Caenorhabditis elegans: one gene and its partner. The protein of the gene in region 1 interacts with the protein of each later gene in a pairwise test. Each region holds a gene or a part of one and is shown in the gene's direction. Other genes may lie near its edges.

The links. Proteins that work in one complex are often made in the same cells at the same time.
Region 2: the proteins of mab-10 (region 1) and sorb-1 interact in binary tests that used the Caenorhabditis elegans proteins (3 or more experiments, as listed by UniProt).

Annotation. Positions count from the first base shown.
Region 1 is NC_003280.10:10,526,081-10,529,836, forward strand, and holds the start of mab-10 (NAB transcription cofactor mab-10), read left to right. Parts: upstream 1-2,003; 5' UTR 2,004-2,167; intron 2,168-3,292; exon of another isoform or gene 3,293-3,718; intron 3,719-3,756. UniProt on the Caenorhabditis elegans protein: Transcriptional cofactor. Heterochronic protein, involved in timing of a subset of differentiation events during the larval-to-adult transition.
Region 2 is NC_003282.8:13,748,482-13,752,237, forward strand, and holds the start of sorb-1 (SH3 domain-containing protein), read left to right. Parts: upstream 1-1,851; 5' UTR 1,852-1,854; coding exon 1,855-1,893; intron 1,894-1,941; coding exon 1,942-2,146; intron 2,147-2,171; exon of another isoform or gene 2,172-2,192; intron 2,193-2,377; exon of another isoform or gene 2,378-2,401; intron 2,402-2,561; coding exon 2,562-2,692; intron 2,693-2,703; exon of another isoform or gene 2,704-2,724; intron 2,725-2,778; exon of another isoform or gene 2,779-2,802; intron 2,803-3,015; exon of another isoform or gene 3,016-3,036; intron 3,037-3,274; exon of another isoform or gene 3,275-3,295; intron 3,296-3,308; exon of another isoform or gene 3,309-3,329; intron 3,330-3,445; exon of another isoform or gene 3,446-3,466; intron 3,467-3,756. UniProt on the Caenorhabditis elegans protein: Required for organization of sarcomeres in body wall muscles and for maintaining normal mitochondrial position in myocytes.

The DNA of each region.
Region 1 (3,756 bases):
TTTTGCTCAAATTCAAATAATATTGTTATGCACGAATTTATTCAGAAAAAATAGAATTACATAATAATCAATAAAAAAAGCTATATCTTTCTTTTTCCTGTTAAGTTCGGACGCATTTCAGTAAACGAGCAAGACTAAATATAAGTTTTTTTTAGAGTTTCATGGCAGCAGAATCGCCAAAAACAGCCGTACCATTCATGACCACTCGGAGAGCAGGGAACTTGAGCTTGATAACTGACATTGAAGAATTTCTTGGCAGACCAAACCACGGATAAGCAATCCTATCTTCTGTCCACGTGCGCTTTGCCAAATAATCACCATAACCATATTATTGATTTTCAGAAGTTTCATAAAAAACTAGAGCACTTTCAAGTGTATATGGGTAATGAAGCACCCCACTAACTGTAAGGCAACGTTGAGGGTTCTCCGTACAATTGAATAGTAGAATTTGATACGTCAGAAGAAGGTAGGTACATAACATGGAAGTTATGCTGTCTGAAAACTAACATTTTGTCTGAAAATGTTTTGATTTTATTTTAAAAAACGTGTTGATACATACCTCAATTCCACCAAATCCTCTTGCATTCTGCCATGCAAACATATCAACATCCCACAAGTTTATGAACTTCTAAATACGAGTTTCCAGAACCAATCTCACGATGAGCCCTCAAAGTTTCTGAAGATAAAACTGTGAAGAAACTCTTAGTTACCAACTTTCCAGAATTTTCAAAATATTTTTTTGTAAAAACTATAACAATCAAATTGTTTACTACTCCAAATACAATAGATTCTGTATATTTTGCAGTGAGATGAAATTAGAAAAATCCTAAAGCATCAGTTCCATTTCGTTTTTTGATCAAACAACACATTATCAAAATCATCAGTCGGAATTTTTTCAGATGGATTAATCCAGAAGTTTCAAGAACCACGCCATCTGCTTACAATTTTGTTCTACGAATCAGTAAAAACCATTTTTCAAAATTTTCATTTTTATGAAAGAAGGTGTTTTCCAGGATTCAATCTTGGCATTACTGTAACGAATTATACTTTTGTTTGAAAACATGTTCAAATTATACTAATGATTTTTAGAATACAAGTATTTCAGCAACCTTTTCGCCGAAAAAACGCTTTTAACAAAATATATTTGGCAACTTTTGATAAAATCCTCTTTTGAAGTTACGAACATTATTGAATTCCACCACACATTTGTTTTGGTGAATTCTGAAAAAAAAATCGAATAAGATGAGTTTCAAAATAATTTTGCGGCCTTACTGTACTCAACAGTACTCATATCAATAACATATACAACATCACATATACAGTCTACAGTACTCATGTAGTACTTCTCCAGTGATTCAGCGGTTTAAAAAAAGTCTCACTATCCCAAACACCAACTTGAATCCCCCTTCTTCAACTGCTCTTCATGCCTTCCACTGCTTCTGATCATATCAATTGCTCTTCCAGAGACCTTTGGGCTCCTTGGGTCGGCACCGGACTGGTACCGCTGCCAGTAACACACAAAAAATGGACGCGGCCGAGGGCAGCAGAAAAAGTGCAGAAAGAGCAAGTAAAGCGAAGAGAGTGTAGACGCACTTTTTGTGCAGCAACACTGCCGTCGCCCCCAGGCAGTGCCAGCCATTTTTTCCCTCATGCGTCCCCCCGTGGTCTGTGGGGGTCACTTGCGCCCCCCCGGGCAATTCTGCCCTGGGTGTCCGCGACCGGTACCACCGCCGCTGAGAAGACGCCGCGCCACTGCTGATATCACTGAATGAGAAATAGTATGGAGAAGATGAGAGATTGCAGAGAGAATATAGAGTGTGGCTGCACTATTCTGGCTCTGTCTGTTCCTCTGTTCCTCTCGATTTCTCAATGCCTTTGCTTTTTTTTCAACGCACGCGTGTTCCCCCCTCCAGTTGACCTATGTTCTCTTAATTTTTTTCCTTTTTTTCTAGCGTTGCATATTATCAGTTATCACCTCCACCTCTATCCAACCACTTTTTTATTATAGACCCCGGCCTCACTGTTCCACAGCCTCCTGACCCGGTCGTGCCCGGACCTTGTGCGGCGCCAGACGCGAATGATATTCGGAGACACGGGCTGAATGGTTTCGTCGGTAGAGAACCACGTCATCCCGTTTTCGTCGTCTGCGGAGTTAGAACTGTATCAGGTAAGGTTTTTAGTTTTTTCTTTTTTTAACTATCAAATTGACTGAAATGAGAAAAGAACGGAAGGCAGGCAGGTCTCAGGCATGCACCAGGATCTGAAAACGCGCCTGCCTTCCACCAAAGCCTTAGTTTTGATTTGTTTGACTAGGAGGTCTAGAGTTCAGAAACTAACTATAAGGCCTCCGTGTCAGGAGTGTGGCAAATTTGACAATGGACTTTTTTAGTATTTGCCGAGCACGGCAAATTTGGCAAAATCAGCTAATCCACATTTTTAAAATTTGTCGGCTCGGCAAATTCGGCAAACGACAAACTCGGCGAATTTGACGCACACCCCTGATGTAGTACTTGCCGAATCGACCGAGCTCGGACAGTTTCCAGAATTGCCGGAGATCACTAGTTTCGTCCGTTGGGAGATACTGTAACTTCTAGATTATTAGTTATGAATGTCACTCTTCACTTTATGTCTATTTTCTCCATTTCTCCCATTTTTTTCTCGAACCTCCCACCTATTCCCCGTTGTGTCCCATCCGCCTGTTCGTCGTCGACCTTCTCTCCCTTCATCGCTTCCCAATTTTTTTTCTGTTCACCTCATACTGCGCGCATCTCCTCCCATGTCTACACTATTTTCATCAATTCATGGACATGTGCAGACAATTTCATGGGGGCTTTTTTTGCTAGAAGAATGAGCGTGCGCGCGCCAGCCTCGAAAAGGACGTTTTCGGAGCGGTTTTTCAGTTGGAAAAAGCGATGGAACGAGGTGAAGAAGAGGTCAAACAGATGGTGGTACTGTTGGATGAGAACAGCTGAATTGGAAGAAGGAGGAGGAGCTTGAGTTTTGATTAGTATGCTCTTATAGCTTCTAGACATCTATTTGTCCAAACAGGAAGAAAACTATCCGCCTAAATATTTTATCATATCGGTAAGAAACACCAAAACTTGAAAGTATTTCTGTTAGTCAGAAGTTAATAGATATAGGAGATAAGCTACCAAAATCTCTCTGAAGTCTGACCCCGATTACTGTAAATTTTGAACTTTCGTATCCCCAGACATCCACTTGTCAACAAAGGTCACTTTTTTGTCCCGTTCCTCCCAAGCCCATCCTGTGTATACACACACACAGTCACCTCAATCGTTCGCATAGTAAACCGAACATTTCAAATAATAATCGAACGACGCCTCTTTGGTTTTTTCATCGGTTCTTTTTCTCTCTAAATCTCCCCCGATTCCCGTACTATTCCCTCCCTCCTATTTCTCCATTCTCACCTCCCGGTCCGTCCCGCGTCCGAACGACCGAAGAAGCCCAGTGGCGAGAGACGTTTTTTGTAGGATTGTCTCTGTGTCTCTATGTTTTAAACGCTTTTTCTCGCCCAATGGTTTGCCGGTTTTTCTATGTTTCTTGTGTCGTCGTTTGCGTCCGGGCGCGCCGCCGAGTTTTTTTGACCTATAGTTAGATGTATGGGTGCACTCTTAGTTTAAGACACTATTTCGTCAGGGATGTAGATAGGCGGACGCTGGGGTTTTTTGAACAGGGATCGGGGGCCATACCACTCTCTTTTCTGTGTCGATATGTTCCCATTTTCTTCTCTTCTTC
Region 2 (3,756 bases), on another chromosome or scaffold:
ACTGTATAAACAATTTTTTTCGTAGCTTTGAATTATAATTATATTCCGTATTTATTTGTGTCGACTGGCAGACTTTTTTGTATTTTTAAAAAATAGTTTGATGTTTTTCATATTCTGAAAATACTCATTTTTATAGATTTGGTAACTAATAAAAAAACTATTTTTAAGCACAATTAGTCTCCTAGGTTTATTCTTCGATGGCAAATTGTGATGCGAACGGCAAAAAACTATAATTTTTTTGAACAAATTTTTTGCAAATTTTAACTGTTTCTATGAAGTGTTAAAGTTTCTGTTCTTCCTTTGAAACTAATAAGCTTGCGCTCCACCTTTTTTTAAATACAACGGTTACTTCTGGCCAAAAGAGTACTAAATCAAAGGTGTGATGATCATGATCATAGTGATGAAAAAGTTTGTCTGGTCACTTGAGAGCAGTTCCATCTTCTCTCCTCTCATTCTCTTTCTCTTCAGCAGGTCCATCCGGCAATTGCTTAACAAAAATTGAAAGAAGAAAGACGAAAAGTGTGTAAAGTCATGTATATAGTGAGCAAAAAGATAGAGAGACGCAGACACTGAGAGAATGTGATTCTGTTTCGTGTCCCGGGGACAGAAGACGCAATGAGGGACATTCTTAGTTTCTCTAAGTGTGGCTCTCGCAACAATAATATCACTCGATTTACTGATAAAATTTTTCTTATTTTGGTTTTTTTGTCGTATTTCAAAATAACAACTTTTCGTAAAACCTAGTACTGTTTCGGGCTTGTTAACTATTACAACTGTGAAACGGTAATTTTTATTATTTTAATTTTCAATAATTTTAGTTTTCAGTGAAATACATAACTGATTTTGCAACTCCTACAATCATTGAGTTCTAATTATTTAAACTTAATGAAAGTGTAAAAAATCGTAGAAATAATTTTTTGGGTCGAACCCCAAATTCTGATAGATGAAATGTGGCCTTTTCCCTGTTATAAAAAATTTTTAACCTAAAAGTTTTACTATTCTTGAAAAAACTGCTCAAGTGACCAGACAACATTTTTCAAAAGTTGTACGTCTTACATACTCATGGACAAAGGTGGAATAGATTTGAAAATGTTGTAAAAGCTTTACCATTTCAAAGAAACAGTATAAAATTTAAACACTTGTTCCAGAATGTTATTTTCATTTTTAAAATTAAAAAATTACAAGTGTCTTTTCTATTTTAAGAAAACAAAAATTAGCATTTTTCAATTCCAGCAATGGCAAAATTGTGATTGCCGTGCACATTTTACCCGGTCTTGGAAGCTATTTTTAAAAACTAGATACATTCTCATTCAAGTCTCAAAAGGTGTTCAAAACTTTAAAAACAATAACTTTAACACAAGCATTAACATTTCAACAAAAATTATGATTTTAAGGATTGCGTCAATTGAACGTGAATCCATTGTGGGAGCTTTAACACTTAAATGAAACAGTCAAAACAAAAATTGACAATATGGTCATTTAAGTACCATCCTTATAATTCCAAAAATGCATTCTACTGGCGCTCCTAAATGTCAAATTTAGTTGGAAATTGGGTTCAAAATCTTTATAGAATTTAAAAATCTAGTGAGAAAATATTTTGAAAATTAAAACAAATTTTCAAGATGTCTGAAGTTTTCTGGAAAATGGAAAATATTCTTGAATAGTGTACATCCCATGAATCTGCAATTATTGTCAGATTGGGTAAAGTTCGAGAACTATAAAAACTGTTACAGTACAAATTTCAAAAAAAAATCCCATTTCTGACAGAACATATTAGTCTTCCGTATTTCACATTTTTCATTTATTCTTTCCTTTATTTTGTTATACAATTCTTCAAACTCCCATATTCCAGGAATGATGCATCATCCTCATCCATTCGGGTCAAACCTGGCGGTAAGAGCTTTCAATTAATCTACTCCACAATCCCTAATTAATTTCCAGAACTCATCAGAACCACAACAGCCATCTGGTCAATATCTAAATCCTGCAGCAGATGCCTACAACTTTGACACCTTTGAAGATTCTGATAAATTCTCACCGAAGGGAAATGTGGCGGCGTTGAGAAATGTGATACATGGGCAGTTGGATATGAAGACACCAACTGGAAATAGTTCCAGATATCAGAAACCAGCGCCTCCGCCTGTTGGTGAGTTTTGTTTTTCTAGGCGTTCTATGTATTAAGCTACGAAATAATAGTTTTCGGAAAGTAACACATAGCTCATATGAATTCCTTGAAACTGTAAAAAATGTTAGTCAACAAGATAGTCAACAAATACACGATTGGCTGAGACCTGGTACCTCGACGGACCTGGAAGATGAAGCAGCAATTTTGCAATTAGATTTTTGTCATTTTTTCTATTAATAGTAAGATATTTTGGTTTCTGTCCGAATGCTGCAAACAGTAACAATAAAGTTTTGAAGTAGTCTTATAAACTATCTAAAACTGTTTTTTTTGTATAATTTTTTCTGATTTTGCGGAAAACAACTCCTGATGTCTCTCCTAACCAGCAATATTCAAAAAATCCAAATGTTTTGATGTTCAATAAAATAATAAATTCCAGACTCAACTCCTTCCTGGGCCAAAAATGTAAAAGTATACGAACCAAATGGATATGTGGATCCACATCTTAACAAGCATAATATGGGAAGAGTACTTGATGGTCCTGTCAATCCAAATAAATATTTTCAAGGAGTGAGTTTTATTTTGAAAAAAACAGCGATACAATAAAGCAACGAACTTTTCAAACTGAAAACAATGTGCTGAAATAGTTAAATTTAGTTATTACTGACCATTTTTTACTGATATTATTTTCTTTTTGGCTTTTTTTACAAGCTATGAGTGAAACACGTGAGTTTTTTTCTAGAAATTATTATCGACTAAAGCTTCACTAAAAATTGTAAAATATGAGCAAAATTATTTTGAGTTTTGAAGTTTTCTACTTTTCAGAAATACAATTCACAAGTAATAATAGCTTCTATATACGAAATTTCAAAAATTTAACAGTTTTTAAGTTAAAAAAGAACAAACCGATCAGATCAAACCGGAAAATTGTAAATGTCCTAAATGGCTTTCACGAAACAGTAGAACTTTCTTTTTAATTTTCCGAAAACACAACTTTTCAGTTCTATTTTGAAAATTGTACATTCCGGGAAGTTTATGAAAAATCCTTATGTAGATAAAAATTTACGCAAAATTGTTTTAAAAAACGTTAAAATTTTGTGTACAGTTTGAAGATTTGCAAAAATTTAAAACAATGAAAATACTTTTTCGTGTTGTCTATGAAAACTACATTACTATTTTTTTGTGATAGGAAAACTTATAGGAAAAATGTTTTGAGTACTTTTTAAAACTTGCAAATGCAAATGACCTGAAAAATCGCCAAGACATTTCATGTTGTTCTAAAAAATTTAGTGCTTATTCTCTTACTTAGACTTGTTGCGACACACTGAAGATTGAAACCAATAAACATTTTTCGCTTGTTCTATTGTCATGACATAAAATTCCTGAAACAGAAAAAATTGTGGTTTCTATTTTTTTTTTTTCAATTTTCTATGAAAATTGGGTCAAATAGTGTCTGAAAGTTGTCATTTGCTGAAAAAGTTTCACGGCAAACCCTAACTCAGGCACTATTTGAGATAATTTTCGAACTTTGCAGAAAAAATAAATATCATTATCAGATAGAACTCATAGAACAAACCTTGTCCTACATTTCTGTAATGATTTTTGATACAAAAAAAATATAATCACCAAACTAA